Neodiprion lecontei: one gene and its partner. The protein of the gene in region 1 purifies or fractionates together with the protein of each later gene. This does not show direct contact. Links are inferred from orthologs where the notes say so. Each region holds a gene or a part of one and is shown on either strand. Other genes may lie near its edges. The genes, in order: N-sulphoglucosamine sulphohydrolase and formylglycine-generating enzyme.

What was found.
Region 2: the proteins of N-sulphoglucosamine sulphohydrolase (region 1) and formylglycine-generating enzyme purify together in Homo sapiens (co-immunoprecipitation; 3 studies listed by BioGRID and IntAct, with this or other methods). This does not show direct contact. The link is inferred for Neodiprion lecontei from reciprocal best matches to the Homo sapiens genes SGSH and SUMF1.

Annotation. Positions count from the first base shown.
Region 1 is NC_060264.1:8,249,575-8,267,294, forward strand, and holds N-sulphoglucosamine sulphohydrolase, read right to left. Parts: upstream 11,121-17,720; coding exon 10,961-11,120; intron 10,815-10,960; exon of another isoform or gene 10,708-10,814; intron 9,902-10,707; coding exon 9,772-9,901; intron 9,609-9,771; coding exon 9,472-9,608; intron 9,349-9,471; coding exon 9,198-9,348; intron 9,111-9,197; coding exon 8,872-9,110; intron 8,797-8,871; coding exon 8,677-8,796; intron 8,579-8,676; coding exon 8,375-8,578; intron 8,230-8,374; coding exon 8,060-8,229; intron 7,810-8,059; coding exon 7,663-7,809; intron 7,406-7,662; coding exon 7,256-7,405; 3' UTR 6,845-7,255; downstream 1-6,844. Other genes in the region: protein canopy 4, read left to right, coding at 120-246, 317-451, 1,285-1,449, 1,676-1,841; 28S ribosomal protein S33, mitochondrial, read right to left, coding at 4,250-4,585; phosphomannomutase, read left to right, coding at 11,839-11,901, 12,549-12,743, 12,857-13,124, 13,805-14,070; methylglutaconyl-CoA hydratase, mitochondrial, read right to left, coding at 16,142-16,301. UniProt on the Homo sapiens protein: Catalyzes a step in lysosomal heparan sulfate degradation.
Region 2 is NC_060263.1:36,069,428-36,085,288, forward strand, and holds formylglycine-generating enzyme, read left to right. Parts: upstream 1-8,696; 5' UTR 8,697-8,907; coding exon 8,908-9,451; intron 9,452-9,546; coding exon 9,547-9,721; intron 9,722-9,732; exon of another isoform or gene 9,733-9,963; coding exon 9,964-10,147; exon of another isoform or gene 10,148-10,395; coding exon 10,396-10,551; 3' UTR 10,552-11,012; downstream 11,013-15,861. Other genes in the region: uncharacterized protein LOC107219570, read right to left, coding at 1,340-1,404, 1,834-1,933, 2,700-2,735, 3,140-3,192, 3,284-3,356, 3,612-3,668; solute carrier family 35 member B1, read right to left, coding at 7,109-7,687, 8,058-8,453; SAP domain-containing ribonucleoprotein, read right to left, coding at 11,252-11,347, 11,432-11,503, 11,597-11,725, 11,893-12,123, 12,302-12,363, 12,480-12,576, 13,028-13,078; male-specific lethal 1 homolog, read left to right, coding at 15,061-15,513.

The DNA of each region.
Region 1 (17,720 bases):
GGGAAGTTTGTAACTTAACCTAAACTAAAATAACCTCATAACACGATGAAAACCGTTTATTAACTTTCTTGGATTGCTTCAAATATTCTCACTTATCCATTTTACTATTTTTCTTGTAGTGTGCAAAGTTCTTGCCACAGAGCTCGAGGCTCGGTTGGAAGAAACAGGAAAGTCTCGAGATGTTTTGGAAATAGGTTACTCGGTAGACGACGTGGCTCCAAAGAAGAAGAAAGAATACAAGAAATCGTAGGTTTGCTCTTTATGTTTTATTTCAGTATTTTTGTGATCTGCTAAACTGGAATTCATTTTCTTTCAGAGAACTGAGATTGGTTGAATCTCTCGAGGGAATATGCGAAAGAATACTCGAATACAATATTCATAAGGAAAGGGAAGACAGCACCAGGTTTTCCAAGGGAATGAGTCAAACCTTCAAAACTCTGCATGGTCTAGTGTAAAGTAAACTTTCCCTTTATTACTTCTATTTATTATCTGACACTCACTTTGTTTAGCCAATGTTGCCGTTACCAAATTTTGTCAGTAAGTATTGTAACATTTCTCATTCCCTATTTCTTGGATGCCATTCATGAAAAACACAAAAACTGTTTTTCATACAGTCGAGTTTTGTCGATAATTTTAACAGATTTCCACAAACGAAATTCATATTTCTGCAAAGTGAGTGTCAATTTCAACTGTACGTGATGAAGCTGTAAGTTGTGCTCAGTCATCTTACAAGCCAACTATTTTTTTGAATAATTATTTAGCTAAAAGTCTCACATTCGGCAATATTTGCAACTTGAGAGGCAAGTCTTTCTGTTTTCACTTAACTTCAGCCTGATACCGCTATTGATTTACATTTTTTTAATAATGTACTCCTACCTACCTGATAAGGTACTCATACTAGACGACATGAATTATAATATAATTTTATCACAGTTGAAAATGCAATATGTGGAAATGTAGCTTAATCACTGTGTAAAATTATTCTTCGATAAACAGAATTCGAAATGAAGAACTGAAACACTTTACTTTAAAACCACAAGTATCAATGATTAGGAATATTTGAATCCTCATTGAAAACTTATTGTACTTCAAATAAACAAATGTCTGTGAGTTCCAGCTTCATATAAGATATGCAAACAAGAAATTTTTTACATTCACTAAGCTGGACTGAATACTAACTTTGAAATATGATTGCAAATGGAAATTTTAAGGTGATATTAGGTCGTAGCGTGTTAAACTATCAGTCTTTTTTAAAAATTATATTAATCATTGTTTACATAATAGGGACAAGGGTGTAAAGGTCGACTTGGGTATACCATATGAACTTTGGGACAAGCCATCAGTAGAGATAACTACGCTAAAAACTCAGTGTGAGTCTCTACTGGAAAATCATGAAGGTGACATTGAGGAATGGTATTTTGAACATCAAGGAATTATTCCATTGAGCCGGTAAATATACACTTCCGACTACATTAAAAGGGAATGAATTTAGTTAAAAACTGATTTGCAATTCACAGTTGTACATGCATTGCCTGAAACAAGCCAACTATGACATCTAAATGTGGAAAACTGTTATCCTATAACCTAAGATCTATTTATTAATATAGGTAGTAATGAATATTATCTTATTGTATTGTTAATACATATTTAATAATGTGATATTGTTTTTATATAGATATCTGTGTTCCGATCGGGCATTGAAAGGACAAGATGACACTTGCTTAAAGGAAAAGGGTGAAACTGGACGACCTAAAATCGAACAAAAGAAAAATAAGAAGAATTCTCGTAAAAACAATAAAGAAAATGAAAACAGACCAAAGAATGAGAAAGAAGAATTATAAGAATACTTGCGCATAAATAGTTGTAAATAAAAATATTCTTACCAAAACGTTCTCTAAAGAAAATCTTGTACCAGTAATTATACATCCATTTTAAACGAGATTGAAGTTGATCTAAATATAACGATGCATTTTCAAGAAGACTCGTTATTTTGCAACTTTACTGTTGTGTGAAATTCAGCGACCTAATGGAGCATTAAGAAACTCATATTTGCAAATTCAACCCCTTCAGAGTTGTTCTGAAGCTCTAAAATGGTAACTTTTCATATAATTATTCGTAACGGTAACGTTACTAACTTTACCTGCGTTATTATAAAGTTTCTATTTTAGAGATGTGTAAAGAAAAGTTATAATTTTCAATAGTGCGAATTTATTATATCGATTTCATTTATACCATAATTAAACAAAATTGTTGTGACTCATTTTACAATAAATCAGTTTTTATAGCTAATTACCGTGATTATTTTTTTTCCTCTGGATCTTGTGCAAATGATTTTTTCCTATCATGTAATAAGTTACTCATGTGTTTGTGCATTAAATAACTCAGTTTAGCATTACCAGCATAAAATATAACAAATCAGCGTCAAGAGTAGTCTTTTTTTTTACCAAAATAAATATGTCAAAGTTGATAGTATTATTTGTCATATTATTAAATTGGGGAAAACAATCTTTGGAAGTTTCTTTATGGGCAGCCAGAGCCAAGAGTAGCCAATTCCCCTGGCTAATTCAATTTCAAACAATTATTCCTTGCGGTGGAATACTGGTTTCTCCTGACTGGGTTCTTACAGCTGCGCAATGCGTTCAGTTCAACCGAAATGTACGTATTACATACGTTTGTACTGTTTATTAATTTGAACTTTGGAACTATAGAATCCTTTCTCAGATATACTTGCTAACACTATAATGCCCAAAGTTCATGCAAACGATTACAAATGAGTGTATACTCAGACTTCTCTATTCAATTACAGTCCATCACCTTATATGCCACAGGGCTGAATGGCACACAGTCAGGACAAACGATCGGAGTAAAAGCGACGTACATATTCCCAGAATACCAAGCTTACTCAACGGCACATGACAAGGAGCATAATATTGCTCTGCTAAAATTAATACAACCATTTGATATGTGCGACGACAACGTCAAACTTCTAGACGTGTCCCCAATTCGACTAGATGATTACTATAAGACATGTTTCATATTTGGATGGCAAAGCTATGTCGCTCCATCGACAAAAGTTTTAGCAAAGCCGATCCAGTACAGTCACGTGCTTCTTAATTCTTGGGAAGTATGTATGTACATGCTCAAGGGGAATACCAGCTATAACAATGTCTTCTGCGCCATTGTGGACGCGGAAGATGGAATAAAAGCATGTGCAGGAAATCCTGGATCCCCAGTTGTCTGCGAAGATCAATATCAGCAGATGACTTTATTAGGAATTGCCTCTTGGTCCAATTTCTCATTGGACTGCGCTGGGATCCCTACTTATCTAGGACTTAGTGTATTCAGGTAAAATGAGAGTACCATAAATTTGACACAGCGTAATGTGCCATGGAAAACATTTTCACATTCCAGATCATGGATCAATGATTTAATATTAAACGATAAAGTAATGGAGGAACGAAACAATGATGGTAAACCCAACAAAAATACCTGTAGACATGATCAACATCCGGGCAGTATGACGGCTGGCACTAACATTTGGAATTATTCAAACTTGTCGAGGTTTAGATTGAACATCGATCAGAAACCCATTGATAGACTTTGGAAGCCACTATGGACAGAAATCGTCGAAAAAGAGATTCATGAACAAGGTTCCAGTTTGTCAAAAATTCCAGTTATTCCTCCCAGACTAGAAAACGCAGTATATACCAACTATAGCAGACTTAATTCAAAGTATGGAATACCCTTTGATATCCTGAGACGAAGGGATGAAGATAATTTTAAGCAGTACCAAGAAGTTGGCCAAAGTAGAGAAACTGCCAATAGAATAGTGGATACTGTGGCTGAATTTCCAGCGGTGCAAATCAAGTCTAGTCATTCAGGAGATAAAAATATTGAAAAAAATCACGACAAAGAGATACGAAAATCCACAACAATAAGCACAGGCGATGAATTGTATGATTTAGACTTTATGATGCCATTAGATGAAGATTACTTGTTCGGGCGATCGCATACATTGCATTTCCAATCAAGATGGTTTTGTACAACACTTTATCTTGTGACTGTAGTCTATTTTATTTTCTGATTATTTAACAATGTTTTACCGGTGAAAATAATTATGTATCCACGGCATCAAAATGTTGACAACATCTTACCATTATCTTTTTCCAAAGACGGTTTATAAAAACTTTATGCTACTATTAGATTTCAAAATATTTCCAGACCATACAAGTAGAGTAATTATCCACTCTTACAATGTTATTTTCTTGCTCTCTCCCTTCTCAGGCTTGCCTTTGCCACGTAGAATTCTCAAACGTTTCATCTCATCTTTAAAGTCCTCGTGTTCATCTCTGAATAGACCATACTCGCGAAGTCTCATCATTAATTTTCCAATTTCGGGATGCCTTGGATACCAATCGACGACCTCTTGCCGTTTATTCATAGGCTTTGCACTGAACAACTTAACGACCTTCATTGATGGTGCATTTGTAGTTCGGACCACTTCTCCAAATATTTTGTTGCTCAGACGATTCATGCGATTTGCATAATTTGTTGTAACTTTAGCAAGATCGACGTAACGGCTCATTCTCAGTACCTCTATTATGTCCTAACGAATTTGAAAAGTTTTTGAAGTCATTGTCCACACATTGCGTATCAATCGAAAAGATAAACGATCAATCTAGATGTCAATAGTTCTATACGATTTACTCTCTTTTTCATCCATTTTCTTAACGTTAATTGAATTTAATACGGTAAGAGATTGTAACTAATGCATTTTCTGAATAGAAACTTGAATTAAAACTTATTGTTGACATTTAATTAAAGCATATTTTTTGTAACTATGAGGGTAAAATACTTACGGTTTGGTCTCAATACTTCTACCTCTTGCTGAATAATACAGCAATAATTAGACAGAGCGAATCGCGAATCTGCGGGAACCAGTTGTCCGTTTTTTGATAGGTTATGTCTTCGAACGGGCTGACTACTGACTTCATTGAACGGGTTAGGTTAGCTTGGCTTAGGTTAGGTTTGCTTAGTTTAAGTTAGGCTAGGATATAATCTGTCAAAACGTTGCAAGTGGGACGCAACTTACGAATAAAAGTCGGGCGTGATCGAGTACTAAAATAACTACGCTTACTTTGCGCATTCAAATAAAGAATGTATAAACGGTAGTTGGGAGTGATTACCGAATAGCTTTAAAGTAAACTGCTCGAAACGTTGTTGAAAATATTACGACAGTATTTGAAATATTGTTATTCTATGCGTTTTCGTGGCACGCGTGATACATATGTCAAAGAAAAGAAAAATAATAACGCATGTGTACATATTGTCCAAGCATCATGAGTTCTGGTGCGAAACAATTGAAAATTTTTGAAACGCTGTAATTATGTGATGTTGGGATTACGTAGGACGAGAAAAATGCATTCGATCGTACTGGTCGGTGGCATTATTTTTTTTCTCGTACTCATGATCCAGGTTAAACAGATCTACGATAATAATCAGAAGCACTATAGATTCATGGAATACAAACAATACGTTAGTACCAAAAATCTTTTGCATTATCTGCCTTGTTATTAAACATCTTTTTTAATGCCTTCTCACTTTTTATTTTACTTCACTCATTGCCACATGAAACATCATATTTTCATCTCACCATCGGTATAAGCTTAATTTTGCTACGTACCATATTGGTCTGAATATAATTGGAGTTTTTTGTTAGCCAATTTTCCTCTTGAAATCCTCTTAATAAGGGATTTTTGCTGAGGAAATTTGCTATAATGACGAAAAAACTTTGTTGTCAACCAATTGTTGTAGAATTTAACCAACAAAATCACAAATCTCCCAAATTCAAAATTACAATTTTTCAAATAGCATCGGTCAGAAGTCTAAACAAATTAAAATTGAGATATTTATACAACAGACTGAAGTTTTAATGATGCAATGTATGTAAAATATACAACACAAACACCCGTGTGATAACAGATCATTTTTCCCTAAAATTCGACTTATATTCAGCATATAAAAAAAATCTTTGAAACAAATTCGTAAATTTGCGGGTCAACTTACATTCAGACTAACACTTTATTGAGCGTACTTCCATATTGCATGCAATACTATAAAAGCAATAATCATAAAAAGACTCAAACCATAACATGTGGATTCGCAATTTTAGATTAAAGAAATTGCTGCAGAAATGAATGTGGTTGAGAGGTCAGCCAATAAGTCATCTGCTTATGTTCGACAACTCAACGAAGCTCTTCTCAAACATCGGGAAAGAGAGGTCAGGAATATTTCTTTACCTCAGTTGACTACAATCTTATAATCTTTAGGAAATTCTAAATATTAATAAATAACTTAATGTGAAAATTAGAAAACAGTAAAAGTCCATCGTATGTAGAGAAAATAGAGAAATTTGACGTTTTGATAAAATAAAGTCTTTGTTGGTCTCCCATTTTACTTGCCGCAGCTAGGATTCCATTGAAATCGTCTATTCAATGATAACGAATGATGATTCTATAGAAAACTGGACGATTAAGATTACAATAAAATAAGACATCAGATGATTCCATTAGCACATACATGACAGAAATAAGAGCTGCTAAGCGTATTAATGATAAATTTAAAATAATTTTAACTCGTATTTGTAATTGTCTACGTACCTTTATAATGTCAATGAAAAAATTACATTTCTTTTTTAAACTTGGTTGTTGTCTGTGTAATATTATATAAGTTTGATCTTTTCTTTATACTTTGATAGTCTTGAACATAGATGTTATTGTTACTCTTGATAAAAAGCAAAGCTTACTTTGCTTGTAGCATGTGTCGTTTTTTAGAGAGCATTTTCCTCAATTAGATATAGTGTTTAAAAAAAACTGTTATCATTCCTCGATGATTGTAACATATATACTTGTTGCAAAGCTTAGATAATATTTAGGTAATAATTAAGTTCATATTATACATACACGTTGCGTGTATTACGTCACAATCACATATCGAATGAATTGTTGTAGTGGAAATAATATAAAATGGTTCGACAATAACGTTAATGAGTATAGTTATTGTTTCCTAAGAATTACGAATCCCAGTGTTAAACCAAAGTATGGGCAAGATAATTAACTTACAATTGTTAAATCGATCACAGTATATCCTAAATTAACGCAATGTTTAATTGTTATTAAAAAAGATTTCAGAAAAATATGTGAAAATTATATAGCTTCTTATGTTATACTTATCTTTGTATGAGACTCTTGATAAATCATTGGTTGAAGTTATCCAGTGGCATGCATTGCGGATTATTTTTGTAAGCACCTGCATCTTCGAGAACTCCACTTGGAGCACATAACCAGGGGTCATGGGTGGCTTGTTGCCAGTTGAACAATCTGGTTTGTAACTTTGTAACTATGTACTGAAATAATAAAAGGAATTATTGTTAACCCTACATTTAGGAACAATAATACAGAAAAAAAAATTTTGTTGAGACCTGTACCACTTACACATTAGAAAATTGATATTTTAAAGTTATTTTCCACAAAGTTAAAAAGTAAATTTAGTCGTTTCCATGATATTAAATGTGTCGAAAATTATAGCAACTGTTAACATAGTTGTATCTGCAAATGCTCTGTACTTCACGGAAAATAACGAGTATTCATGATAAATATGTACCTTCATGGATGGTTTGAATGCAATATTAGTGAGTTCCTCAGGGTCATATTTCAGGTCATATAACTCCCACTCTGGTCTGTTATAGTATGACTTCAAAGACTTATACCAAGGTACTGGTTGCTTATTACGCGTTCTGTTCAGAAGATCCTGGAAAATTAAATACTCGTTTATGTACCACTAATTTCAATCAACTTTAGGAGGTAAATATTGATATTACTGTAAACAAACAGGTAAAACAATAATTATTAAATGACATGTTAAAGAGGCGTAAGCCAGAGGTAAATTTCAAAATGAAAAACTATATGATTATATAGTTCAGACATCACATTCAAAATATAATTCTGAGAAAGTTAGAGTAGAGAATTCAGATTTTTACTTTGCTGAAAAATTTAATTACCTGAAACGATGGCGATATATAAAAATCTTGATCAATTGGGAATGGCATCTTGTAATTAAGATTATGGATAAGCTTATGTCGCTTTGTTCTGATTGCTCGCATTGGATAGTACATGGTGATTTCGTGATGCGTATGACTTGCAAAGACAGCTGTATCATTTTCGAGAGGCTCTAGAAAAACCACAATTTCATCATGTCACAATGTTTCACGATAAACAGCTTGTGCTATTATATAAAAAAATACATATTGAGCCCCAGCTTAAAGTTATTCAATTTTTTCTTACACAATTAGCGATGATCTTTTTTAATGATTTACCTTGACTGAGTAGAGGAAGAAGAGATTTTCCGGTGCGTGAGATTCGAGGTGATACATTGTTGTCGTCAAATTGTGTTGTGTCAGAAATATTGAACCAGTCTAGTACAGTTGGTACGATATCAAGTAGTGAGGTCATGCTGTAAGTTACTTGATTTCTACGTTGCTTGTGATATGGGGATGATATCATCATCGGCTCTGCCATGCCTGTACCATTAAAATGATGCAAAATTCATAATTGCCTAAATCCGATACGCATTTGTTGGGGTATCAGCAGGTTTGCGTTGCAGCGTTAAAAAATTTACCTGGATCGTACAGATTAGTCCGGCCACTAGGAAAGGGAATACCATTATCAGAGGTATAAATAACAAGTGTGTCATCTTTAAAACCAGCATCCTCAAGCTCCTTCAGTACCAGTCCCACTCCTATCAAATAATATTCAGTATTGAACTTCAAGAAGTATAATGATTTAATATTACAACGGAATTACTAAGGGACACCTTGATCAAGTCTCGAAATTGTTGTATACTGTGCAGCTAAGTCACGACGAGCAGCTTCGGTATCTTGGACGAAGTAAGGTAACTGAACTTGTTTCCACTGGTAGTAAATAGGATTCCAATCAGGAATAGTGCCCATTCCCTGTTCACCGTTTCCAAATTTTTCACAAAAATTGCCGTACTCAGGGTGCGTGTGGCCACAGCGATGGGGATCATGAAAAGCAACGTAGAGGAAGAAGGGTCTGTGAAAATCATTACAATATTTGACATGTGACAGAAATTAATCTGTCGATTATTTCATACCTAAAGATAATCATTAAGGTTCTCACTTGGTTTTATTAACAGACAGAAATTCCCGAACAAGGAGCTTGATTTTAGTTATGTTCCTTCCAACTTGAAGAATTGAATGGTTCTCTTCCGTGTGTGAAAAATCGAATGGATAAACGTTGCTGGGTCCGACGTGCTTCTTGCCAATAATTCCTAGTGTTACGAAAATTATTATCTCACAACACAATAATAATTTAACCTTGATTTAAAAATGATGTGTAAAATTTTCGTGAACCTTTGATTCAAAGTTATGAAAACTACCAGCAAATCCTTTACCTGTTTTAATGTTATTTTGACCCAAGATTTTAGGTAGGCTCTTTACATCGTCAAAGGAATTGAAATGATGTACACCTTGGTGAAGCCCATACATCCCATTTGTATGGCTTGGAAGTCCGGTGAGGAGTGCGGCACGGCTTCAATAATTGAAAAACACACATTGATTTGAATGTATGAAAGAATTTTAACTGCGAATAATGTAATTAATGTTACACTGCATTGATTTAACTAGGGATTTAACTAAGGATTGCACCTAGTTAAGAATTGGAAAAGATGTCAATGTGTAAAAGAGATCTGTACCTTGGTGAACAACTGCTTACTGACGTGTAAGCATTGTTGAAAATCAATCCATTCTTCGCCAGAATATCCAGATTGGGAGATTGACAAACTTTGTTTCTGTACGATCGCATTTCAAAACCTCCATCGTCAGCTGGAAAAAATATAAATACATGCGTTGAATTATTGATGAACTAGCGTATTCAGTGACCAGAGTGAGATACAGAAAATTATGCCATAATTTATCTGCATATAAGAAATAATTTCACATACGACTTTAATCGAACAAAACATTGTGTCAAAAAAAATGTATGGTTCAGTAATATCTAGTTTACCTCAAGAAATAGTTTTTCGTTATTACAAATATGCCACCAAATTTACCAAATAAAAGTATTATAATAAATAAGCTCCCTAGTAGTTTTGCCTCAACGAAAATACAATTAGATTTAATCTACTGATTAATTAATTGAATACAGCTGGAATAAATTAACGTGATAAACAGAATTCTGTCAATTTTAATATTGTAAACATGTTTTTATAATGAGCTTGGATCACGTTTGAAAGCTTAAACTTTGAACTTTCGTTTGACATATTTAGTCCTTCTAACAGTCAATGCACACATAGATTGTTTACAATTTTTTAATATGGATTCAACCAAGGATTTTGTAACTTAATACTCAATAATTACTATAAATAATACGGCACAAAATAGAAAATCTCGCGTTAGAAAATATCTAAATTATTATAAATCTATTTTAATATTGTTTTCTAATTTGAGATCAAAAATTGAGTCGCTGTAAAAAACAAAAGAAATTGCCGCCGAAAGATAAGTTCGAAAGACGAAACAAGCGGTTTGACGTAACAGAAAGCGTAGCATCTGATTGGTTTGCCACATAACAAATCAGCCGATAAAAAGCGTTCTTTTTTCCAACAACGTATAATCCATATACGCCTAAAATCGTAAAAATTTGATTGTTGCACCCATTGATTGAGTTTGGAACAATTTATCGACGGAAGAATTTAAAGACGGTTACACTTGGGCAAATTTGGTGACCAGTTCTCGACGGGTAAGTAGGCTTGAGGCCATAAGAAGCGATGTTAGCGATTCGCTAGCTTCTTTATCGATCGAACTCGGTTAATACGCAATTCCATAAATCACAAAAAACAGTCAACTGTACACTACATACAATCTAAGTAAAAGTAGGTCATTCACCTAAAAGCAACAGCACATTCCTGGGTGACCTAGGGGATGTTGGATTCGCATCTGCGTATGCAAGCTCAGGTAAAATCAGGGAAGCCAGAAGTGAAGCAGCAGCAACGATGAGAATCTTCCCGCGTGGCATCTTCATGCAGAGAGAAACCTCTTCCTGCATGTATACCTATATCGCCTTTACCCACGTGTTAACGCGTGACGTTAACTGCGGAACTGCAGGTTCGTGGCACTCCGAAACCAAGGAATAGAACGGGACGCGAGATACGAATTTGTGGGATAGCCGTTCGGCACAAAAAGAGAGGAGACGAGTGCCTACGTGGTACTAAAACGTTGGTGTACGTATGTAAACTGTTTCCGACTGATCAAACGCAAACTGTATTTACGTACTGGATGCGAGCACCGGTTTGACAATTATAACACATCGTGAGTTTTCACGCTCGTTGCGGTCGACGACACCTCAAGGTACGCCTGACACGTATTGATAACTAGTCTACTACGGATCCGGTGGTCATACTTGACACGCCGGCTGAGCAACGCCTCGCCTCCCTTTTCTCCACATTATCTTTTTACTCTTGTTTAGTGAAAGGCATTCTAGAAACACCACAAGATTCGAGCAGAGGGTATTTCGATGTTCTCAAACTCTATATTAATTCGTTCCTTCAATCGGCAGGTTTTTTTCAATTTGAATTCAGGTTTATTGTTATTGTTATTTTCGAAAAATTTATTTGACCTGTTCAAGTTATCGTTTGTACGAGAAATTGCAGTAAAAACTTATCACATCAAACTGTGTGAGCCTCGCAAAGTTCATTATCTTTACATTACTACATATATTAATTGTTTTATTCAACTTTCAGAATTTTATCCACCGTTTTTACACTATGGCTAATAAAAAGATCATCTGTTTGTTCGACGTTGATGGAACACTGACTACTCCGCGTCAGGTATGGGTACTTTCCATTATTGCCATACTTAGCAAACATGCTGAACATCTTCAGGAAAAAAACTAGGGAATTCCAGTTACATCGTGAAAAATAATATTAATCTAATATTCAGATGACTGCAAATAGAAAGCTGATGCTATTTTTCAACGACAAAAAGTACTTGAGTCTTGAAATGGAATTCAGAACAAATGCTTTTTCTTCAGAAATACTAAAATCAAAGTACTTAAAAGGTCGAATTCAAAATTCTATTTCTGATGGTTTTTCTTCAATGATTTCATCATCTTTGTTTGGTCGCATAAAAAATAGAGAATCATTTATTTTCTACTGAAGTAATGAAATTGAAATATCATTAGTCAAGGTGCTACCTAATATTAAATAACGAAAATTTATATTAATTTTTTTTCCATCTATATTAGCACGTAAATTCAACAATTGAATCGTTTTGGAAAATGCATATGTGTCTTGCAATTTCAACATTTTATCAACACTGATGATCGATGTTCCCCTTCTATAGCCGATCGTGGAATTGATAAAAAAAGCGGTTCAAGAGCTACCATTACAAATAATCTATAAGCCAAATTTTTTTTTCGTTTCTTTGTCTGAGATGCCCTCTTTGTAATGCTTGAATGCCAAACCGTTTTTTCCAGGTTGTTAAACCAGATATGGAAAAGTTTTTGCTGCAAACAGTGAGAAAAGAATTTGATATTGCCCTTGTTGGTGGTTCTGATTTGGTGAAGATTTTAGAGCAGATGGGAGGAAGCGACGTTGTGAATAATTTCAAATATGTGTTTGCTGAGAATGGGCTGATTGCCTACCGTGATGGAAAGCAGATCGCTACCGAGGTAAATGAAAGAGAATTGAAAGTTGACAAACAAGATACTTTCAATCAATTACTCCTAATGTTTTTTACTTACAATTTGGATTAACAGTTATTTCTTTATCTCTTTCTTTTCAGACAATCTTAGATGCGCTTGGAGAAGATCAGTTACAGGAGTTATTAAATTTCTGTCTACGATATATTGCAGACCTCAAAATACCAGTCAAACGTGGTACTTTCATAGAGTTTCGGTCTGGCTTGATAAATGTCTCGCCTATAGGGCGGAACTGCAGCAGAGATGAGCGCAACGCGTTCAATGAATATGACAAAGAAAATCTAATTCGACCAAAATTTGTTCAGGCCTTAAAAAAAGAGTTTGCTCACCTGCCACTCACCTTTAGTATAGGTACTTATCCTTATTTTTGACATATTTTTCTTTTTTGTGTCGACATTCACAACTTCTTATGTATTTAAGGAAGTTGAAGAGTCAAGATTAAATACTTTTTGCTCATTTTATTACGAGATAGTCACACATTCGAGATTAATCAAATTCACATATTCCTAAGCTGAACACATTTCCCTTCAAATACAGGAAAAGATATACTAAAATTATGAACCACATTCTAGATATTGACTCTTCATTTCAAATCACTTTAACATGATTAAAAATGTAATTGGTTTGTTCGATTCCACTCTATGATGGCTTATTTTGTTGAGAAGAGATTACTCTCTATAAACTCGCTATGACAATTTTCTTTCATCGTACTGGTATTGGTGCATATTGAATTTTTCAAGACTGCACTGATATTGATTTTGATTGAAAAACAGGAATACTAAATTTACTAACCTGGAAAAAATCTGTATCATTTTTCTAACAAAGTAATCATGGAGTGAAATCGAATAAATTTATTAGATATTTAACTATTATAGAGATTTCAAACCGAAAATTGATATATAAGCTTTTGTTTACGATTTTAGTATTTCTTTTCTTTTTTTATTCTTACAATTTTTAGGGTAATCGTTCTAACTTTCGAATATAAAAATATGATAAATGTGATGAAAAATATGAAAAATTTTTTCTTGTAGGTGGCCAGATATCTATAGATATTTTTCCAAATGGGTGGGATAAGACTTACTGTTTGAAGTACATTGAGGGATATGAGGAGATTCATTTCTTCGGTGACAAAACTGAAGCGGGTGGCAACGACCATGAAATTTATGAGAGTGATCTTACAATTGGTCATCGAGTCACTAGTCCTGAGGATACCATCAGGCAGGTCAAGATGTTGATGGCTCTTGTGAAGGAAAAACAGTCCAAGGGTCAGCTTCCTGTTCCAATGCAATGTCTTTAACGAGTTTCAATCTAAGTGTGGTTTCAAATTCCTAGTGGAAATTGATTGTAACGATATTTCAATATTTCAAGGGTGTAATCGTAATGTTTGAAAATATGTAGGTATGTAAATACAACGTGTTGTAATTTAATCATTTTAAAATAGATTTAATGATGTATAACTTTGTTTTCATTCAAATTGACTCCATTACGCAGTTATGAAGTTTGTAAAATATTTATATGTATAATGTACAGAAACTATAAATGAGCTCACGGGTAGAAAATAAAAGATTTGAATGTACTTGATAAAAGATTGCAGTACTTGACGAATATTCTGTTATTGAAACATACCCTTAGTTGTTCCTTCTAGGTGTTTTGTCTTACAATGTAGTGATACGAACGAAAGCATCCATAATGTGCAAATCCTAGAAATAGAAAAACTTGTTAGTAACAGTCGAAATGAATATGTGCCTCAAGCAAGTAATTGAAGTTTCATATTTATTGTAACCAATACGTATGAATACTATTGAGTAAGGAAGTGCAGCTCTTCTGGATGTATTGTTACTGTGGTGAATTACACATATACATTGTATTGTTCGCAAGTATTGTAATAAAAATCGCAATCGCCAAAACAAGTTTGCTCATCATTTTCAATTGATTAATTTATTATCATTATTGAACAGTGTCATTATAGGTATACGTATATTACGTGTAAAAATATGTACAATAAAATATTTAATTTCTTAGAAAGAATATATGTATATGTATATTATATATATATATATATAATACACACACATATATATATACTATACCTTATGACTTCACTCATCTGCAGTGTCTGATAATAAAAACTTCTCTTCTAGAGATGGTGTACAATATGTTATAAAAATACACAAATTTAACATGCTCCAACAATAGCGGTTTTGATATGATAGATAATCCTAAGAACGTATCAAAAAATGCCCCTGTCCCTCATTCCGTTATGCTTATTAAGTTTTGAAACATATAAGCTCCAAACATGACAAGCTAAATTACTTATTATTTAATGAATTATACTTTCTTTGCTCACGTTAAAGTCCTGTTGTCATTGCTCCTACACTGCAAAGAGACATGATAATATAGCAGTGTAAATATTTGCGTTAAGTTGATAACGTACTGGACAATAGTGACGAATGGTTTATTTTGAACTGTAATTGCATTGGATTTGTATCAAATGTTATCTTACGTAGTGTTTTTCTTGCCTGTAAAAAAGTATTACAAAAGAGAACTGTTATTATCGCTACATTGAATCATGCTGATAATCGGTTGCATATCACATGCGGACAGATAAACTTCAACTTTTAGATACAAAACAAGAGTCAAATGCAACAATTTTCATTCTTTAACAGGGAAATTTTAAGGTGAGCAAAGATTACAATGAAAGACGAAAAGAACAAAAAAACTTTATAAAATTTAAGATTATATAGAGAGATATAAGAGATCTCTAAAACTTAGAAACATATTGCGATTAATTCTGTGAATTCTAAGATTTAAATTAAAATAACTATAGGTATATATACTTTTTCAATTTTTCTTTTTAACATCGTATAAAATATTTCAAGTTATACTTGATATTCATAACAATATATAATAAAATATAATCAACTTTGATGGCTGCTGTACTGATTATTATCCAGCCGTTAAATATGCAATTGGAAGACTCAATAACTTTCTTTTTTTAACTTGCTCAAGCAAATACGCACTTATAAACAAGAAAAAATCACTGGTAACTGATTACTGTAGCCCATATTTGGATTAGTCATTTATCTTTCCAATTAAGTTGGCACAAATGCCTGGTACGAGTTCGTATCACTGACAGATTACTTCTGATAACAGGAGTGATTATTCCCTGTTTCGTGACTTCATTTTCATGCTTTCAATGGCCCGCTAGTGCTAGGGTTGTAGAACTGAATTTTTGTAAATGAAAAACTGCTATTTTTCGTAATATGATTATTGTAACGAGGACGAGTAAGCAAGACTACTGATAAAAACTCACGTTATCAGCACAGAGCGTATCTCAGCTTATTAAAAGTGTAAAACAATAATCAGAATCAGATGCCTTTGTAGACTGGAACACGCTTCGCCTTAAATGCAGCAAGCCCTTCTAAACGATCTTCCGTTTCCAAAAGCTGCGTGTAGCACTTCTTCTCTATCTCGAATCCGTCTTCCAGTGGAACTTCAACACCTTGACTTATTGCTACTTTGGCTAACCTAGAATCAAACAGAATAGATATGAATCAGTTCATTGAATATAATGATATTTACTTCGATACTACCAAAGCCCGCGAAACTCTCCTATTCGGATTGCTTTTGGTTTTGATAAGATAAATTTTGCACGATTGCGTGATCTGGAGAAATAATATGGCAGAATTGTGGCAAGAGATATGAACGAAGAGATAAGTACACAGGCTAAAAATTTTACCCTGCTTTCCCTCACGTGAGCAAAAGTCTTAAAGCCAATATTACGGAAATCTGAAGCCAAAATTACATGACAAGACGAAAGATAAGCAATGTTTGCACAGTTTAAATCTTCTACAATAATTCCTGACCAATCAAGCGCTGGTTTGGATTAGCAACTTTCCCTTTTACTTTTTTTTTGTCCCACTCGTTGTCGAATGCATTAAATATACATAAAACTTGTACAGTCATGCTTATAAGAATGTGTAATTGACGTTCTGAACCAATAAACAATATCTTTGATTGATTAAACAAATGATATGATTCTGAATTTGAAAATGTAGGTCGCTGTGACAGAGTTACAGATAATAAATCCTAAATTTTCCATTGCATCGAAATTGTGTGTGATGTCAAATGTACAGTATATTAAATGGGCAGCAGCTGTGTATATATTGATTACATAACGTTATCTCCATGTTGATTTGCCCTTGAGTAACCTTTTACAAATGTATACACACATGTAAAAGATGGGTTTATGCAATATTTGAGCCCACAGATATTTGATCAAGCAATACATGTACTTTCGTATTTGTCAGTTAGTTGCCGTTTGTAAAAAAAAAGTAAGTCTCCAGTTACTCTAAAACATAAATAATTCTTTTGAAAAGTGAATAGTTGTATATGATTGTGGCACAAATAGTATTAGCATATAACTCAACAGATAATGAATATATTTATTACTAGTGTGTAAAAATTGACAAGAAAGATAAGACAAAAGTACATTTTCAAAGTGTAATAGGAGATACAGAGTAACTGAAGATCACTGACTTCCGTTGTTGCGTGCACTTTTTTAAGCTCAGAGCAGCAGTCTTTAAAGAAAAGACACGCGGGTGCTGCTTGCTTCAAGAGGCAAAGGTCAAACATTTACATGCAAGTACTAACGTAAGTGTGGAGCGTGAACAGGCCAGTGATGAGCTCGGCAAGTAAATGAACGCAGTTAGAGACAAGTTTGCATGAATATTGTCATGAATCAGCGTTTAATTTGCGATGGAAACATTTTAATAGATAGAAATGAAAGTATAATGCTTAGCGGCAAATCTTATGTACAAAATGATTTGTCGTCTGCTTGCTTTGTGCTTGTGATTATTATTATCTTGCAGTAAAGCAGTGAAAATGTAAAAGCAGTGCATGATATAAGAAAGAAAACTTCTTTTTAATTGACTATCATAATGCAGT
Region 2 (15,861 bases), on another chromosome or scaffold:
TATGCAACTGTACGCAGTTGACGACTGAGGTTTTATTTTATATTAATTACATTTAATTATGACAAGCCTCACAATCAGTAATATCACCAATTTACATTTATGTTCATCTTAGCAAGTGGCTCCAAGATGGAAATTAAGAATTTTGAAAATAAACGAACCGAATTTCTGTATGTTTTACGCAGCCTAGCGAAATTCTAAAGAATTATTTTGCAACTGTGAAATCGGGGTTTGTTATGTGTCATAAATATGTCGTCAGAAATTCCAGGGCGACGCAGCTATTATTATTGAAATAAACGGAGGGTATTTTTGCTAATTATTAACGCTTATATTGTGCCTAGGTCCGAATATTCCAAACAAAATTTCGGTTTACCGACATTTAATCATACCAATGCAATCGTCAAGCAATAGCATTGTGGTCAATTCAATATTGCACCTGATTCTACTTAATTCACCCGTTCATTACCCTGCACTAAAATCAGTTCCTCATATTTCCGCCCATATGGCGCCATCTTCTGGACTATTTGATAGCTTCATTGAACGTCACCGAATATGCATGGATCACAGAACTGTTACACAGGTTGCCTACCATTAGGCGCCCACACCTAAATCATTTGATAGCTTCATTAGTCATTACCGAGTATTCACGGATTACAGAACTGTTACACGGGTTGCCTACCATGAGGCGCCCACACTAACGGAACATTCACAGTCATTTTCTCAAGATATTATTTTTCCCTATAGGTATGATAACTGACCAGTATGCTGTTATTACAGAACGATCGAATAGACTCGAGTATGCAAAGAGGCCGGATTTCTGGTTGCAAGTTCTCATTGAATCCTTCGGTAAACATCTAGTTGTTTTCTTCTTTATTACCAGTACAGTTATATTTTGCCAATATAGTTACAGAAGTGCCAATTCAATTTTGAAGAATGACGTTATTTTTTGAAATCATTACAAAATATGTTACATACGTGTGTATACATGGGAACATACTATATTCTGTGAATTTTGGGAACTGATATGCACAGATGTTTAGGACAGCTGCATTAATTACCACGTTGAGGAGTGAACATATGATTACATTCAAAAATTTGCAATCTCACCAACAAATACTTGATACAAAACATATAGTATGCCTATTTCGGATATAATTCACAGTAAGGTTTTTCTCCTTCGAAGGAGGCTCCCGGAAATCGCTGCGAGTCGAACGAAATTATGCCAACATGTACAGCTGAAAACAAATGAGAAAAGCGTAATTATGCGTTAGTACTTGCCTATTTTAAGTTCCGCAACAATGAAAAATTATAAATTCGATCCCCCGCCAATCACCATACTTACGTCTGGTAATCCATTGTACCAACACTTGTTCGTCTGGAATGCCGTATCGCAATCATCGGAACCCTCTGCGAAACGAAAGAAGAAACATGAATGGGAAAGTTTCATGGAACAAGTATTCCAACTTTTATACGGGTGCATAAAGTAGAGTTTTTTTTTTTTACTTCGGTTATAAACGATAATTGTAAGTGTTACTTGCAATTAAATGTCAGTTTTATTTTTATAAGTATGATGATGTACGTAGACATTATATGTGCAACTACTTTGGATACGGCTTACGTTAAACAGCACTTCTTTAAAACTGCTGATAATTTGCTTTAACTTCGTTCATCGAATGAAGGAAGAAAATAATTATAATAACGAATTTATTCTTTACGAAACTAGTGTAGAATATGAATTTAAAAAACTGCCATCGAACTTTCCTACTGTAATAAGCCTTTAATGGTGATCGGTTTAGCTGGACCTCCCATTACTACGGATATCTTAAACATACTCACTGACTGTTCCACAGCTTCGAACTACTGGCTCAGCGTCGCCCACGACGTGCTCGGGTAATACTGCGACGATAGTTTCTACGTCGATGTTGCCGTCATCAATCTAGACATGGAACAATTAAATAACGTTTTGGGTGTTCCAACAAACGTGTCACTGTAAGTGAAGCTGATAATAAATCATCGAGGCGTGTTTAATATTGTCACACAGAATCCACCGGTTGTCATAATTTTTTCGATTTTTATATTTCATTATAAAAAGTTCAGAGATTGGTAACAGGATCAGTCGGACTAGGCGAAATTCTCTGGGCTTTATTCCCGCGCTACTCAATGGCTGTGGATACGGTGTGAGATGTATTTATACTGGGTTATAATTGGAATAATGGTCTTGCTATGTGTGTTTGAAGTTTGCGTTCATTGCGTGGTGTTAAACAGAAAAAAGGTGGATTATAAAGAAGTCTCTTTTAATAGCTATTGTGTAAAACGAGATTATTTCGCAATGAAATCGGTGGATAAAAGTTTTAAACCGTACGAAATGACTCGATATAAACTGACAATATCCGCAATCGTACGCGCAATCTGTAGTTGAAAGGATTTCAAGTCATATAAAATTATACGAAATCAGCCAAAAATATTTGTAACCATGCTTATGTAGGTCTTTCGCTGGAACTGACGAAATTCTTCATTTTTGGTACATTTTTTTTTTTTTTTTAATGACACCGTTCGATTTATAAAAAATGCCCCCGAAGTTTCAGATTTTCGTCTGAATTTCTGTTCGTGTTATAAGTTTTCAAAAAAACTAACGAAACGTAATACATTTATAACCATACTTCTATATTCTATAATTGATAAAAATAATGAAATTCACTTACACCGGAAATTTGTTCCAACAGGCACAGCATGTAACACTGAAATAGAACCGTTGTAATTATCATAAGCGAATTGCAATGGAAATAGAAAACAAATTCCTTGGCGTTCGATTGAAATGACTACACAAACACTTGCAATTACATGGAAAATAATCGAATGCAGGGTCAAATTTAGCGCAGGGTGCCAAGGGAGGCACCCCGAAATCTCTAGATAATAGAGGCCTCCATAATTAATTTTCGCAAATTTTGAACATTTTTTTTAATAATAAAATTTGTTTATGTGACCAATGAAAAATTTTTTAACTCAGAAATATTACCATTTATATTTTTATTCACTTCGATTCTGTTTAAAAAAAAACTTTCAGAAACAAGAATATCGAGGCGAAGGCCCGACTCGCCTAATTTCGATTTACCTAGCAGCTGGATTACAAATTATTGGTTACCTTCAACTTTGGGTCATCCGGAAAATTACCGGTTCTTGCCTGGACGATCAAGTCTGTAAGAAAAAAATATAAATGACCATCTGGTGATACGATAAAACGAAGAGAAATTATTATCGGATTGTTTAATCGCACAAGCTCACTTACCCTCGGCGACGCCTGTCTCTGCGACGCATGTGTCGTGTAGCATTTGTACCATTTCGGCCATTCCATCATCTGCCTGTTAAAAGTATAATCCACAAGTCTGAATTTAGATATGAAATTTCCGATCTTTGCGAAACAGGCGTTCGAATAAAAATCAGCTAATACGACGGTCAAAATTTGCATTCTTAAACAATTAGAATAGCAAAGTAAAATAAAGAAAAAATTTCAACGTCAAAGAAAATTGGAAAAGAAGCAGAAAGCTGCACACCATGAATCAAAGTTGGAATTTGCAACAACGAGTAGAACGAATTTACGCAAAATCAAAACTCACCATCGATTTGGCAACGAAAAATATCATTATAACAAGACCGTAACTAAGCTTAGACATTTTATCGTCGTTGCAATAAAAAAAAAACTAGGTCTACTAATTACTTCCTGATCGCTAATCGAACGAAATAAACCGCGCGTACTGGATCAGACTGGGGTGGCATTGCTCGGGCAACTACTTATATAGGCGAGGAAGATTCCTGGATCTACCTGAACTAATGAACAAAATTAAGCTAATGACATTTACGTGCTGCCGAGTGCAGCCCCAACCGCGCCTAAACCCGTCATTTTCATAAACACACAATCCAACACCGTGTGATTAGGTACTGAAGCGATGTAAGTTTCCTCCATCAAGGCAATCCGCGTTTGAGACAAGACAATTGGTAATATCTGATAAATGCTTTCAATTTCAGTATGTATTTAAAATGTGGAAATGACGTTTTACATATTCCAAAACAAGCAGATTTGAACGAGCACACTCTATTTTCTATTGAAAATGGAAAATAGTAGGTATGCATGGCATTAACAATTTGACAAATACCTCTATTGAAGTACTTTCGACTTTTACGGGAATTTATAGTGCTGTCAGTGCTATTCTTTCATTATTGCGACATTTAAACGGAGACAATTTTCCAAATAAAAAATCCCCGTTTAGTCTCATAGTAAATAGTATAATCAAAACAGGCAGGCTACTTGTTAAAAATACCGGGTTTTCCTAATTTTATTAACATACCTGTATCGTTGAAAGTATATACGATATATCCGGTAATTACATGACCGAATGGAGAGTTTTATTTTCTCGATTGGAGAATAGTTGAGTTTATACTACGTATCGAAATTCTCGTTCCGTACGACAAGATCGAAGGTTTATTTCTGAACCATCGCGAAAAACAGTTGCACACAATGAACTCCTTTTTTTTTTTTTTTTACTTACTAGTGTTAGTGATCGTTTGTTTCTATATACATAGCTTATGTTTTACTTTTCATTATTACTCTAATTTTATTATATGTTATTAAGGTTGTTCCGACTCGGTATCAACAATGTTGTAATTATGTTTCAATAGATGCATTAAATATGTCCTGAGGATGACTCCAATCAGGGTCGAAACGTTGACGGCAAAAACTTGTTGTTAAATAATGACCTACATTTCCAAGATCCACAACAGAACTCCCTTAATCACTACGTTAGTGAGTGTAACAAGGAATCCGTGTTTAACGAAAGTGGTTTCGTAACTAACATTCGGTTTCCTTAACGAAAACGCGACGATAACCTTTCTGTATTTCTTTCCACTTTTTACGCTGGAATCAAAATTCTTTGCAAATTTTGAACGTCTCGTGCGAGAATCTTCCTTTCAATCCATATTCGGCTTTCAACTGTGATTTGGTGTGAGGCTAATAATATGTAATTGTAACAAGAAACAGAATCACGAAAAAAAAAAATCTGCCCGATCAGGGCAAAATTTCGTTATTGCATGCACATGGAATTACGCAAGAATACACCTATGGCTGATTGTAAGACAATTACACGAAATTATATACCTATAAATACGGGCTGCAGTTGGTAAATACAGCTTCTAACGAGAATAACACAAGTTTGCATTTATATTTACCTTCGCAAGTAGTTACACGGTTCGATTCTCTCCATTGTTAAGTGGAAACCGAAATATAAACTATGTGCACGTTGCAGAATTATTAGCCGAAATTATGCATTCTTTACGATCCTCTATAAAAATCTGAAGAATGTTGTTGCGACTGTACAATAGGTGTTGTCTTTTTCGTATATCATGAATCTGTTGTTAGAAATTCCAGGGCGACACACAGTGGGGAATTTTCATGAAATCGTGGAATTAAATCAGGGCATCATCAGAATTTTGTCAAATTTGGTATACCAACGTTTCTGGGATTGCTGATTACGAATATAATATCAAAATTTGGTAAACAAAACGGCGGATTAAAACATGAAGTTCGTAATAAAATCGATGTACAGAAAATCCACTTTCCCTAGGTTTTCGGGAACGCTGATTACGAATCTGATATCCAAAATTGGATAAAATGTAGTACTGAAATTAGCTCGCCGGATGTCACCTACATTATTATTTTATGAGTATACAATTAACAGTTTTTGCAGAAATTAAACACTCGTCATTCTTTGTGGCATTTATTTATCAATATATCTTATAACTATATGTACCGTATATAAGTATTATATGTATAAGAAAATATTAACGAAAGCATATTTATTGCAGACTCAACCGCAACGGCCACTTTACTGATCTGAAAAGTGGGCCAAAAGTAGCGTATGATTCCCTCTGATACTTGTTCCTGCATTTGCGGGGAAAAAGTAGCACTTTTCAAGTCAATAGTAATCACAGTTAAGTCGGTAATAAAATCCTGTATGCAACATGCGAATAAACCAATTATTCCGTTGTTAGGTAACGTTCTATTTAGCGTATAGATATGCAGTGATAGACTTTTATAATATTTATACCCATTTCAATTTTATTTCTCTTTATTTTTGCTCTTAGTAAATTTGGCTGAGAGAAAATTTTATATACATATAGTTTGCGGATCGAAATATGTATGTAAAAAATAGTCGCCATCTAATTTTCTTAAAGGAGTATTCTTACCATTAATCGGAAAAACTTGATAATTGGAAATGTTGGAACAACGCTATAATCGTAAGTACTGTACAAATAAATATGTATAAGCCATATACATAAATGAATTTGAGCGCATTGCACTAAACGTTGTGATGTATAATCTGTATTATGCATATTTTGTGTGAAATATATATATATATATATATATATATATATATATATATATATATATATATATATATATATATATATACATAGTTCACAATCTATACGTATATAGATTGTGATCCAAGTAATTCCTTATATCATGTTCCAAATTGAAAATTTATACGTACTGATTATGAGATATACACACGGTTCTTACTGGAAGGAAAAAAATTACCAATGACTATTGTAATTTGTAACTAGGAAAATTTCAATTAAAAATTACGAACGTAATAGTTAGTATCGATTTTTCTTGGAACGACAGATTACATTTGTAATTTTATTAGAAACCAATTAATTACAAAAACGCCCAACACTGATCGAACTTTATAAATTTATTTCTGTTCGCTGATAATGTTCATCTATTCTAGACACCTTTTCGTCGCGTTATCAATTGTACCTAAAGGAAGTATAAAGGTGAAGTTGGTAACGAGACTGTAACGATGTTTAGGAAAAATTGTTATTTTACACCATGAAGTTGAATTTTAGTAAACCATGATAAACAAAACATACTCTCATTTTGAAAAGCTGACTCCTTCAAAGTGATCATAATTATATATTTTTAAGTATATATATTTTTCCCTGACGTTTCGTTGCAATTATTTTACTAACTTCAGCCTCATAAGAACCTGAACTAAATAAAAATTCAGAACCTCCAACATAATTCATCTATCATACTATGATAATATAATTAAAATCATTCAGTAGTTTCCTTTAATGGTACTTTAGTCTTGCCGTACATGGCGTCTAAGAATAACCCTGAGAAGACTGTAATCGTTGCCAGCCATTGTCTGGGTAATAAATTATTACCAAATAATAAAACAGAACCTAGTACAGTAAAGAATTTCCTAGTAGTAGTCATAACGGAACATGGAAGAGGGCCGAAATCTGACACTGTTAAGAATATGAAAAATTGTCCAAACGCTCCTGCTAAAGAGAAGGAAACGATGTGCCATAGGCAGTTTGGATGTCTCTGCATAAATGACAAGAATTGTACAAGCTCTCCTGACACTAGGATAACCGAAGTACTGAATATAAATGACCAGAAATTCATGTTCAGCATCATGTGGCCAGATTTAGATTTGTGCTCTGCTCGCATTCTTTCCTGTACCGCTCCAGTCAGTCCATCCATCGTCAATGACAGCAGCAGCAAAAACTCTCCAAAGCCCATTTGGCTTTCGGTCTGCTTGGTATTTGCCACATTGTCTTTGTACATGAAGAGAGCAACGCCCACAACGATCAGTAACACGAATAGGTATTTCCTCAATGGATAAACCTTAAATGAAAAATTAACCATATTTTTAGTTGAACGACACATCTTTGGTTCGAGATAAGAATTATCATTATTTTTTATCATCTCACCTCACAGACCAGTCACTCTTAAATTTGAATAAAACAGTATTGCGAATGTTGTTGAGAAAATTATGAACGAATCATGTTTTTGCTTTGAAAAAATCTTGATTAATACCTTGGTGGACAAGAGGAATATTTACAGTAGTTTTAATCTAATCGACTAGAAATAACAGACTTTGATGGGGCATCGACGTGTTGCTTTAAACATGACAGAGTAATACTGATATGAATAGGTAAGAGAACTATTGCAAAATCTGTAAAAGGTTTGAATAATCGACAAGTTAAAATCTCACCTTCCTTCCGAGCAGTACACCGAGTATCATAACAGGAATAGGCTTGCCAGCCTTGCCGACAACCTGAGTAGGATAGCTGACAAATTGCAAAGCCATAGTACTACAAACCATAGCGAGTAGATAAGTAAGCGAACTGACAGCATAATAAATTGTACGAGTAGAGTCTTCGCCTTGTTTCATAACAGTCAATAGTATAACTTTGGCAAACATGTAGTTGAGCAAACATTGGACAGAAACCAATGCGAACGCGAATGTGAATTTTTCGGGTTTGTCGGCATCTCCGTACTGTCCTCTGGTTATTTTTTCTTGAAGAACACCGAAATAAAAGTAACACACGAAAATACCAGCTGCACAAACGAGCAACTTTATTTTCGACGATTTCTGACTACCAGTCATTATTGATCAGTTTCTGTCAAACAATATCTACATGTATTCCAAACGGTATTAGAACCGCGACATATGCTCATCGAGGTTATACCGGACACGTCCACGTCTCGTCCACTTTAACTATTTCTTGCGGCTTTGCACACGCGACTGAACCCGATTGCACCGCGCACTTATTGCTCAACGCGCGGTTACAGTTTCAACTTCAACTGACGTTTCGCCAAGTGTCGCCTCTTTTCGTGCGACACGACGATAATGCGTCCGAACCATTGATAACGCGAGTTTGTAGATCACCAAATTCTACGCGGCCAATACTAGTTAGCCATCGATTCAGGATAATTTGTACCAAAACAATTGACAGCGGCGTTGACTGAAGAATATATCTTCAGTCAACGACAGCGGCGACGACGATTTCCATTCGCAGCGTCAAAAAGGGTTGTTGACGTCAGTCAATTGTTTTTGGAAAATGCGTGCCGTGTTTGTAGCAGTTTTAATCGTCCATACTTTCCTTATCAAGGCTGCAGAATCTGAGGGAACGGATTGTCAATGCGGTAAAGTATTGAATCGAAAAACAAACGATGATCAGAGCGGCAAAACTGAAGGTTTCTGTTCCGCCGGTGAGAGTGAAGCTTGCACTGTCAAAGAGAATAAGTACGAACAGAGAATCAACGCTCACGATGGAATGGCGATGATAAATTCGGGCACCTTTGCCGTCGGTACAAACCAACCGATATTCGTGGCCGACGGTGAGGGTCCAAGACGAAACGTAACTCTGGACGATTTCTACATTGATGTTTACGAAGTTAGCAACAGAGATTTCGAGGAGTTTGCCAAGGCTACGGGGCATCGAACAGAGGCTGAAAAATTTGGGGATTCTTTTGTGTTTGAGGGATTATTGAGCGAGGAAACAAAGTCTAAGATAAACGAGGCGGTTGCTCAGGCACCTTGGTGGCTACCGGTCAAAGACTGTAACTGGCGTCATCCTGAAGGTCCTGATTCCGACATACTGGGTGAGGTTTTCTTCTATACATAGGTAGTCCAAGAAAATTGGTGAGAAGTAGACGCGCTTCGATCATCACAATCTTAAACACGTTCTCTATGACAGACAGAATGGACCATCCTGTGATTCACGTCTCTTGGAACGATGCCACAGCTTTTTGTAAATGGCGAGGCAAACGACTGCCTACGGAATCTGAATGGGAAGTTGCGTGCAGAGGCGGACTTGTAACTGAACGTCTTTTTCCTTGGGGTAACCGCCTCACTCCAAAGAATCAACACAGGTAAGCTAGTATTGGAATTACGATTGTTCGATTAATTTTTATTTCATTACATCCTCAAATTCGGCGACGCACATTCATTTTTAAATGAAAAATCATTGACAATTGCTTGATTATTCTTCTTTTTTTTTTTGACAAAATACGCACAACACATTTATATGATTCTGTTAAGAAACATGTTACTTATCAATTATTTCTTTAATCTTATTACTAGTATAGAATTTTAATTTACTTTTTCCGTGCAGGACCAACATTTGGCAAGGAGTTTTTCCTAGCAATAATAGTGCTGAAGATGGATTTGTGGGGACAGCACCAATCACAGAATTTCCACCAAATGGTTACGGACTTTATAATATGGTTGGAAATGTCTGGGAATGGACTTCCGATTGGTGGGTAACTGAACACAGTGATAAACCTGCAAAAAATCCTGTAAGTATAACTTTCCTGTGATAACATACACCCAATACCCTTGCAAAAATGAATTCTATTCTAACACAGGAATGTTGCAATTGAAAAAAACTCTCAAAAAAGCTATGATTTATTGCTAAATGATTGTCCTAAGTCAAGATACACAATTTCGAGTACTGGTATTCTTAATAGTTTATGCCAAGCACCTACATTCCATGTAATAATTGTAGTTAAATTTCTCAAATTCATGATCAGTCAAAATTTTGTAGGTCGGACCGTCAAGTGGTACAGACAAAGTTAAAAAAGGAGGCTCATATCTGTGTCATGAGAGTTACTGTTACAGATACAGGTGCGCTGCGCGCAGTCAAAACACACCTGATACTTCTGCTGGCAATCTCGGCTTCAGATGTGCTATGTCGATTTAGCAATATCTGAATTGTACTTAGGTTAAAATATTTTGTAAATACTGGTACACATACGCATGATTGGATAAATTTTTATCAAAGTTTTGATTCTATTTTTAAGCCAGGTCCAAGTCTTCCAGAATAATGTTTGACGTTTAGTATACGTGTGTAAAGAATCATTTCGAAATATGAAGGGTTTACATTATTCCTCAGAAATTACGAACACGATTTTTGGAGCTCGAGATACAGATTTAAGTAGATTGTGATTGTAACCTCAGGTAAACTGTACGTATGGAAAAATGGTAATAAATTTTTCAGAAATTCCCAATCTATTATCAATGTTTCATTCAACGCAAGCACATTTTTGTGACAGCGATCAGCAGGTTATTTTGATTTTATAGGAGCCTCTGGACTTCATTTCCTATTACTAGAATTTATTTTCAGAGATTCCATAATTTTGGAATTATACATCAATAATGTTTGGCAATGAAAAAATTACCAATGCTATAATTTGATTTGATGTTTTTATTTTTTTTTAATTTATAAGTAAAATACTCTATTAGAAATTGATTAATCAAAAAATGTAAATATTTTCGATCCATATTGAATATTGAAAATTTCGTCTACTTTTTAATGACTGTTTGACTATTGGTTTCATTGAAAAAGAATTTCTTAAAATAACCTTAACCTAAAGTATTGTTTGAGTGTATGATATCGAGTATCATTTTACTATCTTAATTTTTTTTATGGGTTTTTCAATCGGCTTAACCTCACCAAATCTCGCTCGCCTCTTTTCTATTCTTGACTCCATTTCAGCCTATAAACAATAAATTATATGATTCATTTTAAAGGCATTTCACAGTAACTGATACACTGCATTGATTAAAAAACTGACACATACTTTTTCCATCACACTAGAAACCGAAGCGCCGAACCTTTCAGCTCTCTTTTTCAGCACCTCAAAGGTCGTATGCTGAAATTAATTATTCACGAGATTTTAATATCATCCCCAAGTTATAAGTGTTCCACGAATCTAACTGTCAAGCTGATTTTGTTCAAAACTTACCACTGGAACGTTTATAGATGCTGCTGACTTACTATTCTGCGTGTTTGAATTAAACCTGGCCGACCTAGCTTCTTTCTTTGCAGACTCAGATAGAGGGACACCAAATTTCTTAGCTCTCATTTCCAGTCTCTGTTCAAAAACGATAATTATCAGATGGTGGATGGATGGAGTATAAAATTTGCAAAATTAATTATTTTTTAACAAGTGCAATAGATGAAGATATTTAGAAGCTGTGAATTTCAGTTGAAAATGCAGGTATGTGACAATCACAAAAAACGTGTAGTTATCATTTTTACCTCCTTAACGCCCAGTTGAGAAAGTTTGATAACCTTCTTTTCAGGTTCACTTGTATCTGATTTATTATTATTCTCTTTTCCAGTTAGCTCACTTTGGATATCTTCGAGAATTGGATTACGATTCAGTACTATTTTTTTGGAATTCGCTGAGTTACTTTCTGTTGACAATTTTCGCTTTTTGCCCACTTCCTGTGAGTCGGGTTTACTAGAAAGTTCCTCTATCTCTTCATCCTACAGGTACATATCATTCATTTATAAAAACGGGAACAGATATACAAACTTGATTCAGACCTGGTAATGCATTATTATTTTAGTGAAGAAACATAATAAACCAATACATTTCAGAGTCTTATATTCGGAATATTATCAATATTTCTGAAAGCTAAAAGGACGTAAAAATATAACTTACTCCGAGAACAGCATCCTCATCTAATATTTCATCCGTAGTCTCGTCAAGTGATAAAGTCGAATCTGTGAAACAAAATATCGGTGGCTGTCAAATATTGAGTATTATTTAATGCAATTCATTAATCCTGGGTATCCTGTAATTAAGCTAACGATTATGGTTTGCATTTTCATAATCCTACCTCCATGCATTGCTAATTGAAGTCGTTCTACCAGCTCGGTTTTATTTCCAGTCGTGGGCAGTCCTCGTTGCTTCAACTCCAACTTTAAATCTGCTACCTGTAATGAATGTCATCAATTGATGCATCAAAATTATTCCCTGCTATAATTAAGTACCTCTCAACTATCGAGAGGTTGGAAAATTGTATTCAAATTTCGAAGAATCTATAATCAACGTTATAAATAAAACCTGACACAGTTCAATCCATAAAGGATAACAGTACCCTTTTTTACAGTAAAAGATCTTTGAGACTTGAATTACTAGAATTTTTCAAGTTTGATTAGTGCACCTTCGAAGCAAAACGTGTTCAGCAATTTGACAACTTTCGGGATGACGATGGTTTCATATATGAAAGTTAAAACATATTACTATTCGAATGACAGAACTCAAAGTAAACTTTCTCCAAAATATAATCATTCAGGGTGCAATAAGATGGTTGGATTCGTTGAGGTTAACGTAAATATTAAATACACAATCGCCGCATGAAACAGTGCTAATGTATGCGCATACCTTCATCTTGGATAACTCGGTTAATCCTTTCTCGTAAGAAGAATCAGCCATAATGAATTATTTTTAATTACTAATTTTCACAAGCGGCAAAACTTTTCGTATTTTATCTCATTTATCACAGAGTTTTGGTACAGGTAAACGCAACAGAGCAAGCCAACCGAAATTCGTAATCACAGTTCGTAACTGTGAAATGTAAGAGGATACGAAAGACCGGAGGAACAATGGCGAAATATAGTCACGCTGATCCCGCCAGTCTCGACCAGTGGCATTTAGCCACACTGATTCAGCCCTGTTTTATCGGTGGCGCGCTTTCCGGCTTGACTGAATTTCCGTATGGCAATGCCGTACTCCATACTGACCAACGGAAATTAACCTCGTTTCAGTTTTTCAAGTGAAATCTATTTTCCTTGTAGTACCGGGTCTGTTACGAAGATTCTAATTGCCAAAATCAATGTTTTTCGGAAGCTCAAAACAAAAACACTGTAACATTTAGAAACGTCGGGCTTTTCTCTGGCGCATCTGGCGGTTGATTGAAAAATAAATTTAGGCCATCTCTCAGCAATGTAAATAAGATAATTTGAGATTTGAAATCTGCGATAGATATTTCATCATTGGTAATTGCAAAAGTTATTCGAAAAGCAATATCTCGAACGGAAATCGAATTGAAAAATCGAAAGAGTGAATCAGTTCTAATGATTATGTATTTTCAACTAAGGTTGCACGTATTGCATTGATCGTGCCTGCGAATTCACTCGCTATATTCACAAAACAGCACTGATTTACTGCTACATGAAAGTCACGTAAGGCACGGATGAACAGAGTAAATCATTTGGTCTATAATTTGGAGTGAGATGACAGTCAATGAAAATTATTACACCCACAACTATTTGTGGCGATAAAAGTTCCAACCGCAAGTGTCGTGCCGATTTATTTATTTATTAACTCTTTAATCTCTTGCCGTTATAATACAACGCCAGGTGCAGATCCGTCCACACGGTGAACGTCAATTTTCTGATATTTTTTGATAAACTAAGTTCTACATAACATTAATATGATGTTTACACAAGCCGCCAAAAATTCGCTCGAGAATTACGACAAAGCGTTTCATCGGCACGCTTTTTACGTAACCTTAGCTGAACCCATGTCACACGACATCCACACTGGTCGGCGGCGTCGCATTAGGAATTGGCGAGCTAAGACGAGACACAGTCTCAAAGGACAACGGTTTATGTACGTGACGCGACAAACGAAATAAACGAAAATGCTGCTCCAATTCACAACCACAATCACAGATCAAGCGGAACGTATCTTGAGACCGTTCCTCGGCATCGATATCGAATTGAAATTCGCATTTCATTATAATATAGCTGTCTTGTAAACGTAATATTTCCGCATGAATTGTAGTAATTGAGTCTTATATGTATATAGTAATGACTTTAATAATTACTCATTAAAGTACGGCATATTTGATTAATAAAAAACATCGCGCTAAAGACTGATGATCTGGAATGTGCTGCACTCTATGCGAAGCTATCAGTGAACATCCTTCTCAGCAGTTGTAGATTTACCTTGCTGTAAAATTTCTATTGAAAGGCATATCCGGAGTATTTTTTTCGTCCGAGCTTCCAACAGCTTGATTAATGCATCGAATAGGTTGTCCATTCGTTACGATTATTCGTAAACGTGGAGAGCGGGAAGAATCTCGTCGGATGAATTCAAATAAACGGGGCCAGCCGTGATTGACGGGTACGGAAATCACGTGGTTGCAATGGCGGGAAATCGTTGGAGTATTTCGAGCCGCGTACGCTTGGTGTCTCTACTGTGAGAACGCCGTCGGCAGAGTTTTGTCAGTAAACATCTCGAGCCAGGGTTAAAATTGAGGGTGATATCGTGAGAGTTTGTCTATTTTGTAGAGTGAAAAGATCATCGGAGTCTACGTAAGATTGTTTAATGAGTGTGGTTGGGCGCGTGGTACGCTCACTGCGGCCACAAATGATCAGGAAAGTTCTTAACGAGGTTGTCACGGAGGGAAAATGTCAAACACCTCGCCAGTAATAAATGGTGAAAACACTGGGAGCGTGGATTTTCGGGAACTGCTTACGGCACCTGGAACTACGGCTAGTGGAGTTAACGCGGCCGCGGCTCGTGCGGCATACAACATGGTTGCAGCAATGAGCGAACATTTATCAACTAACGTGAGGCAAAACGAGTTCCAAACCGCTGCCGAGGATAGCAAGGCGGGCATATTAAGCTTCCCCTGCGACTTCGACCACATGTACGCGAGTATGACAGACGGCGGTGCCCCGGCGACATCGGCACTCGGTGTCAGCCCCCTCCGCGGCAACGAGGCTCGTCACCATGACCTCACCGAGGTCAAGCACCTCAAAGAACTACTACTTTTACATCTGGACCTGATACAACAACAATCCGAGCAAATCGTTACCAAGGATAAACTATTAGCGGCTCTCAGGCAGGAGAATGAAACGGTATACAAGCAGACGTTCACTAGTACTAATTGAAGTGTCAGTATTTATTTACAGAGATATAACCGTATCGCTATTTCCCTACAAGTGACGCTCCATGTCGCTAAACATGCCTTGGACAACAAAGTTGTCACGCACATGCTGAAATGTCATTCAATAATCTCGCTTCACCGTCAAGGTCATGCTTCATGTACCTGCCGTTGGGTGGCGTTGTAACCGCTACGTACATTTGTACACATTACAATATTCACGTCTCTGACGCGTTTCCGATGACATTGCTCTGTCGGTAATGTACTCTCGCTCGGTACCGATAGCGTTTCACGCGGAATATTTGGCTACCTAAATTTGAAC